3 linked regions of the Astyanax mexicanus genome follow. The protein of the gene in region 3 interacts with the protein of the main gene of each other region in a pairwise test. Links are inferred from orthologs where the notes say so. Each region holds a gene or a part of one and is shown on either strand. Other genes may lie near its edges. The genes, in order: stk19, hivep1 and bhlhe40.

The links.
Region 1: the proteins of bhlhe40 (region 3) and stk19 interact in a two-hybrid assay, tested with the Homo sapiens proteins (2 studies listed by BioGRID). The two-hybrid records come from large-scale screens. The link is inferred for Astyanax mexicanus from reciprocal best matches to the Homo sapiens genes BHLHE40 and WHR1.
Region 2: the proteins of bhlhe40 (region 3) and hivep1 interact in a two-hybrid assay, tested with the Homo sapiens proteins (2 studies listed by BioGRID and IntAct). The link is inferred for Astyanax mexicanus from reciprocal best matches to the Homo sapiens genes BHLHE40 and HIVEP1.

The regions. Positions count from the first base shown.
Region 1 is NC_064426.1:43,023,873-43,027,629, reverse strand, and holds the start of stk19 (serine/threonine-protein kinase 19), read left to right. Parts: upstream 1-1,157; 5' UTR 1,158-1,367; coding exon 1,368-1,554; intron 1,555-2,861; coding exon 2,862-3,010; intron 3,011-3,749; coding exon 3,750-3,757. UniProt on the Homo sapiens protein: DNA-binding protein which is required for efficient transcription-coupled nucleotide excision repair (TC-NER). Acts as part of a TC-NER complex which assembles and interacts with RNA polymerase II (RNAPII) when it stalls at DNA lesions.
Region 2 is NC_064410.1:63,706,389-63,710,145, reverse strand, and holds the start of hivep1 (zinc finger protein 40), read right to left. Parts: upstream 2,714-3,757; 5' UTR 2,633-2,713; exon of another isoform or gene 2,569-2,632; intron 2,357-2,568; exon of another isoform or gene 2,174-2,356; intron 1-2,173.
Region 3 is NC_064431.1:29,017,289-29,021,045, reverse strand, and holds the start of bhlhe40 (class E basic helix-loop-helix protein 40), read right to left. Parts: upstream 2,782-3,757; 5' UTR 2,480-2,781; coding exon 2,403-2,479; intron 2,120-2,402; coding exon 2,056-2,119; intron 1,642-2,055; coding exon 1,534-1,641; intron 1,030-1,533; coding exon 906-1,029; intron 688-905; coding exon 1-687. UniProt on the Homo sapiens protein: Transcriptional repressor involved in the regulation of the circadian rhythm by negatively regulating the activity of the clock genes and clock-controlled genes.

The sequences.
Region 1 (3,757 bases), on a different chromosome or scaffold from region 3:
CACTCCCTACCTACCGTTATATCCGTATATTACTGTAAACCGCTAGAGGGAGCCCGCGAGTAAGACCAAAATGAATGGGGGTGAATGGAGCTAAACGGTTAAAACTCTAATTATAAATAGTAATTAATCACTTGGTCAGATACTAATTTGATTTCGGAGAGTAGAATAAAGTATTTTGCTAAAAAAGCAAAGACAACATACCTTTTTTTTTTTCTTTAGTAAACGGATTTTAGTCCGTGAAGGCGCTAGCATTACTGCTATTGTGCGCTGAGGGCTTTTATCTGAAGTTTAAAAGCTTTAAAAAATATGTCTTCAGTACTGAAACATGTAAACTTGTTCTGTTTTGAAAAAAAGAAAAAGAAAATATTCTTTACATGGAAGTTTATTCCCGCCACCTAAAATAAAAAAAAATCCAGGATTTTCTTCTTATGATTAAGTAAATTGCCATCTTATTATTTTGAGATACTAAATCATTATTTTGAAATACTATCTCATTACCTTGATATAATAAGTCATTATTTGATATAGTAAGTCATGATGTTGAGATACTGTTCTCTTGATAACAGTCTCATTATCTCACTGTCTCATTATCTCTTAATAACTCTTGACTTGAGATTGTAAGTCATGATTTTGAGATAGTAAGTCATTATGTTAAGAAACTGTCTCATTATTTTGAGATACTGTCTCATTATTTTGAGAGGCTAAGTCATTGTTTTGAGATACAAATTAATTATGTTTGGATAAAAAGTCGTTATTTTCAGATACTCCCTCATTATTTACAGATAGTATTAAGTCATTCATATTTTGAAAGAAAACAGCGTTTTTCCAAAACCAACACACTTGCTATCTCAAAATAACTTAGTATGACAATTCAATATATCTCAATATCTCAAAATAATGAAATAGTATCTCAAAATAATGACTTACTTTCTCGAAATGATTAGATATCAGTTTACTTAATTATAAGGAAACAAAACCTTTTAGTTGGCCAAAATGGGCTTCGATATATTTTAGTATAAAAATATTAAATATTAATATATTTATTATTATTTTTATTTTGCTCAATCGCTCCATAGGAACCCATTCATTCTGGCCTCACTCCGGAGCGCCCTCCTGTGGTCACACACTTACAACCCATTCTCAAGTGGGCAGTCTCTCTCTATTAGAGACTCTATGGTTCAGTCAGAACCAGCAGAACTCCACTGTTTACCTAAAGCTAGTTTAATAAACTCTTATTTTCTAGCTAATCATTAACCAATAACAGCGTTAAAATCTGCAGTAAATTACCGTGTCCTTCATAATTCAGTGTAAATAAATGAATGTAGTTTATTAACGGAAGTTTCAGGCCGTAGTTTGGTGGTATTTTAATGAACGTGGCGTTAGCATGGTGGCTAACTCCGGTTAATTTACCTCAGTTTTCTCTGCTGCTGTTATTAAACTTCTCCTCCGATATGAACAGAAAAAGATCATTAATCCCGGACGCGTTTAGGGTGAAAAAGCGAAGATTCGGGGCTGATAATATTAACGGGCATCCAGAACACGGAGATACTCAAGGTAAGAAGTTTTATGTTTGGTTCAAGCTTTTTCCTCCCTGATTTAAATAACTAATGTTGTGTTTTAGTGATAAAAATATTTACATGGGAAATATAATGGTGAGTAGTAAGTAAGTAATGATATGTAATGACATTACAAATTACATTACATTACATTTGAGATGTAAGCTATTTTTAAATCATGTTTCTTCCTAACTTTTAATTTTTTGGTGGTACTTTATTCATTATTCTTACATACTAAGTCATTATTCTGAGATACTAAGTCGTTATTCTGAGATACTAAGTCGTTATTTTGAGACACTAAGTCGTTTTTTGAGATACTAAGTCATTAATCTGAGATACTAAGTCATTATTCCAGGATATTAGGTAATTATTGTAAGATTCTAAGTCATTACACGGAGTTGCTTAATCTTCATTTTTGAGACAATGAATCATTATTCTGAGATACTAAGTCGTTCTTTGATACTAAGTTTGTATTCTGAGGTACGATGTGTTTTTATTTTGAGATACTAAGTCATTCTTTGGAGATACCAAGTCATTATTCTGAGATACTAAGTCATTATTATAGGATACTAAGTCATTATTCTGAGATACTTAATCTTAATTTTGAGATACTAAATCATTATTCTGAGATACTAAGTTATTATTCTAAGATATTAGGTAATTATTGTAAGATTCTAAGTCATTACACGGAGTTGCTTAATCTTCATTTTTGAGATAATGAATCATTATTCTGAGATACTAAATTATAATTCTTAGAAACTGAGTACTTATTTTGAGCTAGTAACTCAACAGCAAATAAGTAAAAAATGGATACGTAATGGCATTACAAATTACATTACATTAGATTTGATAACATCATTATATTACATCATGTTTCTTCCTAACTGAGGGAGTTTAGTAAAGAATGTAAGTTTAGTTGTAGTTTGAATTTAGATCACATGGTTAATAACTAGATTTTTAAGTTAGTTATATTGGCAGTGAATGTACTGACAAACCCAGCTCACCTTTATTGTGTCCCAATGTCATAAAAATATAAATATTAAAAAAGCTTACATATCCACAAAGCTAGCTGACATTAGAAAACTATTAGCCAGAAATTAGTGATTGTGTAACTAGCTCAAGCTCAAATAAATATAACCAGAATAACCAACAAAATACAAAACTTTTAAACAATTAACCAAGTTACCATTAGTTTAAATTTACTTAACTTGTCCATCACTACAGAACTCCAAACTTCATGTAGATTCAGATTTTTTGGTATATTTATATATATTTTTAATCTGTTTTCTCTTTTTTTGTGTAAAGCAGATGGACCTCCTGATGTTAAGGCCACACTTCAGTATCTCATGACTCTTTTTCCTCGCAAACTTTTCAACGACAGCCTTCCGCAAATCGTCTTCAAGCACCAGCTCTACAGTTTACACAGCGACAAAACCTTGGTGGACAAGCAAGTGGTAATATTTTTAAAATGTATTTTTAATACATTTTTTTTCTGGGGATCCCATATTACTTACTGAACGTTTTTGTGCTTCCCCTCAACTTGTACAACTAGGTTTTCAGATATTATGCTTATAAAATCAGAATTATTTTCTTAAGGATTATTTATAGACCATTTTTTCTCCTTGTAATATTGTCTTTTGTGTAGTGCTGAAAGATATGGCCAACATTTATATTACAATATATTTTAATATAATATAATAATTTTTATTATATTGTATAAACAGTATAAAAGCAAATGGGTTTAAGAAATCATGCACTAAATCATGCTATAGCTGAATAATATGTCAAAATGTTGTATCATGGTTTTTAAAGATAATCTTATGATGCACAGTTTTAACTCCTGTTCAAACTTTTTTCATGCATAGTATAATATATACTGATTTATGCAAATCAGTTTCTCTGATTTTGCTATTTATAGGTTTATGTTTGAGTAAAATGAACATTGTCGTTTTATTCTATAAACTACAGACAACATTTCTCCCAAATTCCAAATAAAAATATTCTCATTTAGAGCATTTATTTACAGAAAATGAGAAATGACTGAAATAACAAAATAAAAAAACAGAGCTTTCAGACCTCAAATAATGCAAAGAAAACAACAAGTTTATATTCATAAAGTTTTAAGAGTTCAGAAATAATCAATATTTAGAGCAATAACCCTGTTTTTTTGTTTAATTTCTCTTATTTTTGCAGAATGAATT
Region 2 (3,757 bases), on a different chromosome or scaffold from region 3:
AGCCCTATGAACCAGGCATGTAGCTAGCAAGCCACTGTAACAGTGTAGAAATGCCCTGGTAACAGTGTATCAAGCTAGTGTAACAATTTAGCAACCCATATAACAATGTTTTAAGCCATGGGGACAGTGTATCTGCCATCTGCAACAATGTAGCAAACCCCTGTAACAGTTTTTCAACCAAAAGTTACAGTGTATTGAGCTTCTGTGCATCGAGCCATGGTAAGTGTATCAACCACCTGTAAGAGTGTATCATGCATCTGCAACAATGTATAAACCCCCATAACACTGTAGCAAATGCCTTTAACAATGTATAAAGCTCATAGAATACCGTAGCAACCCAGAGTAACAGTGTACAAAGCATCTGCAACAATGTAGCAAACCCTGTAACAGTTTATCAAGCTAGTGTAACAATGTAGCAACCTCTGTAAAAGTGTGCCATGCCCCTGCACTAATATAGAGTTTCAGCAACAGTGTTTCAACCCAGAGTAATAGAGCATCGAGCTAGTGTAACAATGTAGCAACCCCTGTAACAGTGCATCAGCCCCTGCAACAATGTTTCCACCCCTGTAACAGTGTAGCATGACCCTGCAACAACATTTCAAGCTACTGCAACAGTGTTCCAACCCCCTGTAGCACTGTATCAAACCCTGCTGACAGTGTAGCGAGCTAATGTAACAATATAGCAACCCCTGTAACAGTGTATCAAGCCCATGAAACACAGTAGCAACTCAGAGCAACAACGTGCCATGCTCCTGCAACAGTGTTTCCACTGGAGCACTATATTAAGCCATGCTAAAAGTGTACTGAGCAAGTGAAACAATGTAGCAACCCCTTCTAACAATGTACCATGCGTCTGCAACAACATATCAAGCTACTGCAACATTGTTTCAACCCCCTGGAGCACTTTATCAGGCCCTGCTATCGGTTTATTGGTTGCTTTAATTTAACAATGTAGCAACTCCTGTAACAGTGTATCAAGCTCACTGTAGCAACCCAGAGTAACAGTGTACACTGCCCCTGCAACAATGTTTCCACGCACTGAAGCACTGTATCAAGCCCTGCTAACAGTGTCCTGAGCTAGTGCAACAGTGTAGCAACTGCCTGTAACAATGTATCAAGCTCATGAAACACTGTAGCAACCCAGAGTAACAATGCACCAGTGTACACTCCCCCCTGCAACAATGTTTCCACCCACTGGAGCACTGTATCAAGCCCTGCTAACAGTGTAACGAGCTAGTGTAACAATGTAGCAAACCCTGTAACAGTTTATTTATCTAATTTAATAATGTAGCAAACCCTGTAACAGTTTATTGATCTAATTTAATAATGTAGCAAACCCTGTAACAGTTTATTTATCTAATTTAACAATGTAGCAACCCCTGTAACAGTTTATTGATCTAATTTAACAATGTAGCAACCCCCTGTAACAGTTTATTGATCTAATTTAACAATGTAGCAACCCCCTGTAACAGTTTATTGATCTAATTTAACAATGTAACAACCCCCTGTAACAGTTTATTGATCTAATTTAACAATGTAGCAACCCCCTGTAACAGTTTATTGATCTAATTTAACAATGTAGCAACCCCCTGTAACAGTTTATTGATCTAATTTAACAATGTAGCAACCCCCTGTAACAGTTTATTGATCTAATTTAACAATGTAGCAAACCCTGTAACAGTTTATTGATCTAATTTAACAATGTAGCAACCCCTGTAACAGTTTATTGATCTAATTTAACAATGTAGCAAACCCTGTAACAGTGCATCAAGCCCATGGAACACTGTAGCCACCCAGAGTAACAGTGTCCCAGTGTACACTCCCCCCTGCAACAATGTTTCCACCCACTGGAGCACTGTATCAAGCCCTGCTAACAGTGTAACGAGCTAGTGCAACAACGTAGCAACCCCCTGTAACAGTGTCTCGCGCTACTGCAACAGTGTAAACGTTCTGAGTGAACATACATGCAGACAGAAAGGCATGACCGGGTGGAGCAGCGGCGGCGGTAGAGGAGGAGGAGGAGGAGGAGGAGGTGGTGGAGGGAGGAGCCGGGAAAACCCCTGCGAGTCCTCCGCAACAGGACGCCGAAAACACGCTTCCTCCCTACCGACCAAAACCACGTATAAACGCCGTCCGCGCGCTGCGTTCCGCGTTAATCACGAGCTTAGCTTACCTATCTATCTACCGTCATCAGGGTGTCTTCTTCAACAGCTCGCGAGCTCTGCTGCAGGCTTGATAAACATTACACACACACACACACAGAGCACATTAACATGCTGCAGACGTCTACTCCAAAACAGAGGAAACGGAGGCGTTCCGGTGAGCCACAAAACACGGCCCGGGTTCGGGAGCGCGCGCCAGCCCTCACCTGGCCACCGCCGAACCCCCCGGAGCGCGGTACCGGGAAAACGTTAAGCGCGCGTTAATAACGTAAAACAAACACTGCGCGTTTTCAACGGCGGAGCGGGCGCACAAACACACACGAGCCGCCGCCGCCAGCACCACGAACCACGGGCGGCGCGTTACGTCACTCTAGCGTACTAACAAGCTCGCGGTTTACCTGTTTACCTGTGTGCGTGCTCGCAGGCGCCAGGTGCGTACAGGTGCCCGCGCGCGCTGAGGGAACACGTACCTGTATCATAAACACATCCAGCGCAGGGAAGCTCTGTTTTTTTTTTTTTACCCTCGCTCACTTTCTATTGCAGGAAACCGACAGGCCCTCTGACGTCAGCGGGGGTCCCGTCTCCGCCCCCTGACCGGGGGAAGCGACCGCGGGGGGGGCCCGCGACGGCCGACAACACCGACAGCATTACATTAACCCCAAACAGATAAAACACATCCTTCAATCAACGCAAATGTTATAAAACTGAAGTAAAACAGAACTGTAATTAATAATAATAATAATAATAATAATAATATATAAAACAAAGATGTACCAAAGATGGTAATATAATAATTTAATAATGCTAATCTTGCGATAAAATATTGCAAAAATAACTATAGTGATAAAAAATGGTAACAATTAATAAGGCTAATCTAACAATAAAAAAATGGTAAACTAACGATAAAATAATGCTGATCTTGCGATAAAATAATGCAAAAATAATGCTAATCCAAAAATATGTATTTTTTTTATAAAAATAAAATAATTATAATATAACAATAAAAAACAGTAATCTAATGATATAAAACGGTAATTATATGATAAAAACTGATAATCAAACAATAAATCAATAAAATAATAATAATGAAATAACACTAATCTAATAATAAAAAACAGTGATCTAAGGATAAAATAACACTATTCTAACAATAAAATAGCGGTGAAAAAACTAATCTAGTGATAAAATAATGATAAAGTAATGCAAATCTAATAATAATATAAGGTTAGTCTAACAATAAAAAACAATCTAAAAATTTAATAGAACATTTATAAAACAGACATAGAACAGGACATTTATTTGTATTTATTTTTTTTTTAATGTTGGTATTTAGATTTTTTGGAAAGATAAGTTGCAACATATTTTTAATAAAGCTGATTACACCGTAGAGATAAAATGTACATATTTAATTTATTATTTCAACTAACTAGACTGTCTTGACTGTCTCTAACTTTAGTTTAAATGGCATTTTGCCAAATCATCACTATTAAAGACTGCACTAAAAAGGTGTAGTTATAGAGCTGCTCTTGTTTACAGTGTCTGCTCTGTACAGTCTGTGTTACAGTCAGTAAATAAATTAATAATAATAAAATAAA
Region 3 (3,757 bases):
CCGGGTACAGCACAGGCATGCCCCCTGGGTACCAGCACTTCTCCAGCATGGGCAGGTAGGCGGCAGCAGCTGCCGCTGTGGGGGGGATGAGGTAGAAGGGCATGCAGAGCGGCGGCTGGTGGGGCGAGAAGCTCACGTACCCGCCGTGCGACTCGTGACCCGACAGAGACTCGTCCTCGGACGAATCCGACCTGACCCGCTTGGCCTGGGGCTCGTCTCGCTCCTCCTTGATGCTGCCGTACCGGCCGTGCTTCATCTCTGCGGCGTCTTTGCTGTAGTAGCTGATTCTCTGGCCTTTGGAGTCTCGTTTGTCCAGCTCGCCCCCGTAGCCGCTGTCTGTGTCTGTGTCGCTGCCGCTTTGTTCGCTGATCTGGGGGTTGTACGTTCTCTGAATGACCGGGACACAGTTTTTGGCGTGGCCCTCCGGCGAGCAGGGCTGGGGAGCAGCTGCCTTCTCCCTGGCCTCTTGACCCTTGCGACCAGGCGAGGGCGTGTCCAGGCGGGGGCTGGCTGGACGCTGCAGGAGCTCAGCAGCCACTTTGTGCAGGTGGTTGACAACGTGTGTTGGGGTCAGGTCCCGTGTGCTTTCCAAGCTGGCCAGATACTGGAGTACCTCCTTGGCACAGAGATGGAAACCGGAACGGAACATCTCTTCGCTGTTTTCTGAGCTGCCATTGCTCTGATCACCTGCAGAACAGATAGAAAAAAAGTAGAGCATGTGTTAATAATAAGTTGAGAGAAAGATTTCAGGATGCAGGTTGCATCAAAAACATTGGACTGATGTGAACTCATGCACAAGAGAGAACAAACACAAGTGACAGAAGTTCTGAGAACAGATCGCCGTGTTACTCAGAAAGCAGGAAAGCAGGAAAACGGCTTTACATGAAGTGTTTATTTTAACTTACCAATTTGCATTCCGCTCTGCAATGAAATGATCTGCTGCTGCTGCTGTTCCAGAAGGCCGTTGAGGGCTTTCACATGCTTTAACGTGAGCTCCAGCACCACGGCCTTCTCCAAATGGCCCAGCGTCTAAAAGAGGAAGCACTCAGATAAGCATGTTGATCTTTCTTATGTAACGCTCCCTCAGCTGCCTCGCCGAGGACAAACTCTCCGCCAGGCGAGAGCGACACTGAGACGCAGCGGGCATTGCAAAACATCTAACAAACCTAAAGCCTAAGCTTAGACTTGTTAAAAAACATTTCAAACTGTTTTAGTTCAGTTGAGATTCTACAAATTATATTTAAACTTTTTTTAAACTTCATGAGCATGCAAACTCAAAACTTGTGCTTGTGCATGCACCATCCTGTAAATGTATCACGGTCAAGCAAGTCAACCGCAATGAATAGCCAAGCGAATAGATAACAAATGAGTATACTAAACAGTCAAGTCAATAAATGCTTCGAATGCACGTCACAGCACAAAATAAAAGTGTGAAAAATAAGAAAACTCCTCCAGGTCAACCACCAGAGGACGCTTTAGAGCTCTGGTGCTCCACACACTCACTCCAATCCACTCCCACAGAGCTATACTTACAGTGAGTTTAAGGTGTTCAGGGAGCAAATCCTTCAGCTGAGCGATGCACTCGTTTATTCTGTCACGTCTCTTCTTTTCAATCAAGCGATGTGGCAGCTTGTACGTATCCTGTGGTGAACAAACAAGAGCATGTTCATTTTATAATGTTTAAATTAAAACTAGAATTAAAAGTTTACTAAACTACTATTCAAAACTTTAAAACATTTAAAAAACGATAAGCTCTAGCTGTGCAGCTTGCATGCGTGGGGCATGGACAGATAGATAAATAAATAAATAATCAATCAATTCATTCATTCATTAAATGCATATACAGGAACTTTTTTCTACAAGTGTAATGTTGTGAGCTGCACAAATGTATTAATATTTTATTTTGTTTAATTCCTTCAATTATAAATATTTCTGTATGTTTTAATGAATATTATTAACTAAATTAATAGCAGTGTACAATGTGTATAATATATATATATATATATATATATATATATATTCACCCATATATTTGATTGTTTTTTAAGTATTTACCTTGCTGTCGTCTCCTCGTTTCATGCCTCTCCGAGGTTTGTACACATACATTGGGAAATCCATTCTGAATAAGATTTGGAAAAGGGGAGAAATAATGAGAAAATAATAAAGAAAAAGTTAGTAAAATGACATTAAGTTGTATTTTTAGAAATATATGTTATAAGACTTGTTTTTCCCTATTTTAAAACAGATTAAAATGATTTAAGTTGCCTAGAAAGCCTGTGAGTCCAAATCCGTCCCGGGATTTCGCTCCAAGCTGCAGCAGAGCCGCCCAGGCAGTTGGAGCGAAATCCAGGGGCGAATTCCTACTCAGAGGACCTGAAATTGCCCCATTTCCAGCTACTTACCCCGGCATATCTGAAATATCCATAGAGGGGTGTTTGGTCATACACGGTGGAGGCTGTGCGCTTGTAATCCTTTCCATTTCGTCTCGTTTACGCGTAAAATAACGCAGGAAAAAACGATTTCTAACGAAAATGAAGCCGAAACAGCTTTTAAATGCTCATAAATTGCCAAAAACGAACTTGTTCTCAAAGAAATCCGCAGGGAAAGTGCATAACGTCCTTGCGTAAAGGTGGTTTGTCGTCAACTCAGACAGTTTTGAAGCTCCTCTCCTGTTAAATGTTTGTGTGAGAGTGTGTATGAAGGAGGAGTGTGTGTGTTGTATCTAGAGCTATATGTGTGTGGGAGGGTGAACTGGACTAGCTACGTGTTAAATAAAAAACCCTGTGACTACAGACACGTCTCTCTCTCTCTCTCTCTCTCTCTCTCTCTCTCTCTCTCTCTATCCCTCCCTCCCTCTCTCTCTCTCTCTCTCTCTCTCTAAACTGACCTACCTCCGTCACATGAGCCTCACGTGTTGGACGGCGCTGTTCCCCCCGCCAGTTCTCAGGACACTTCTTTTGTTATTCCCACCCGTTTTTCGGCACGCCCCGCCCCTAGCTTCTCCCGATTGGCCAGCGTAATCCCATTCAGTCCGTTCAGCCCGCCAATCGCAGATCAGCAGCGCGGAGAGGCACGGGTGGGCGGGGCTAAAGGATAGAGAAAAAAAGAAAACGTTCCAGAAGGTCCCCAGCCTGTGTCGCGTGTACCACCACGCGCTCTCTCGCTCGCTCGCTATCGCGCGCTCGCTCGCTCTCACACAGCGAGTCAAGCGCGCGCGAGCGCCGCTTACTACACAACAACAAGAACACGCACAAGAACACGCGCAGCGATTATTTCGTGTTTTTTTTGTATTTTGTTTTGCTACTTTAATCATGAACAGCAGAAAATAGATAGATGGAGACAGACAGACAAACGGAAGAATAAAAATAATAATAACAATTATAATATGCATATTTAGCATGATTTACAGCAAATAGTGGCTTACTTAGATAGACAGACACAGTTGGATTACAGATAAATACATAGACTGTTAGATAGACAGATTTTTTGTTTTTTTAATAATAAAAAATGTGTTTTTAGTTTATTATAATAGCAACAATAACAATAATATGCTTAGCATGATTTGCAGCATTATTTACAGCATATAGTGGTTACTTGGATAAACACAGTTTGATTATAGATAGATCGATAGATAGACAGACATAAATATTGTTATAATAAAATGTTTTAGTTAATAATAACTAACATTTAATAAAATGCTTAGAAGGATTTGCAGTATTATTTACAGCATGTAGTAACGTATGCAGACAGACTGACA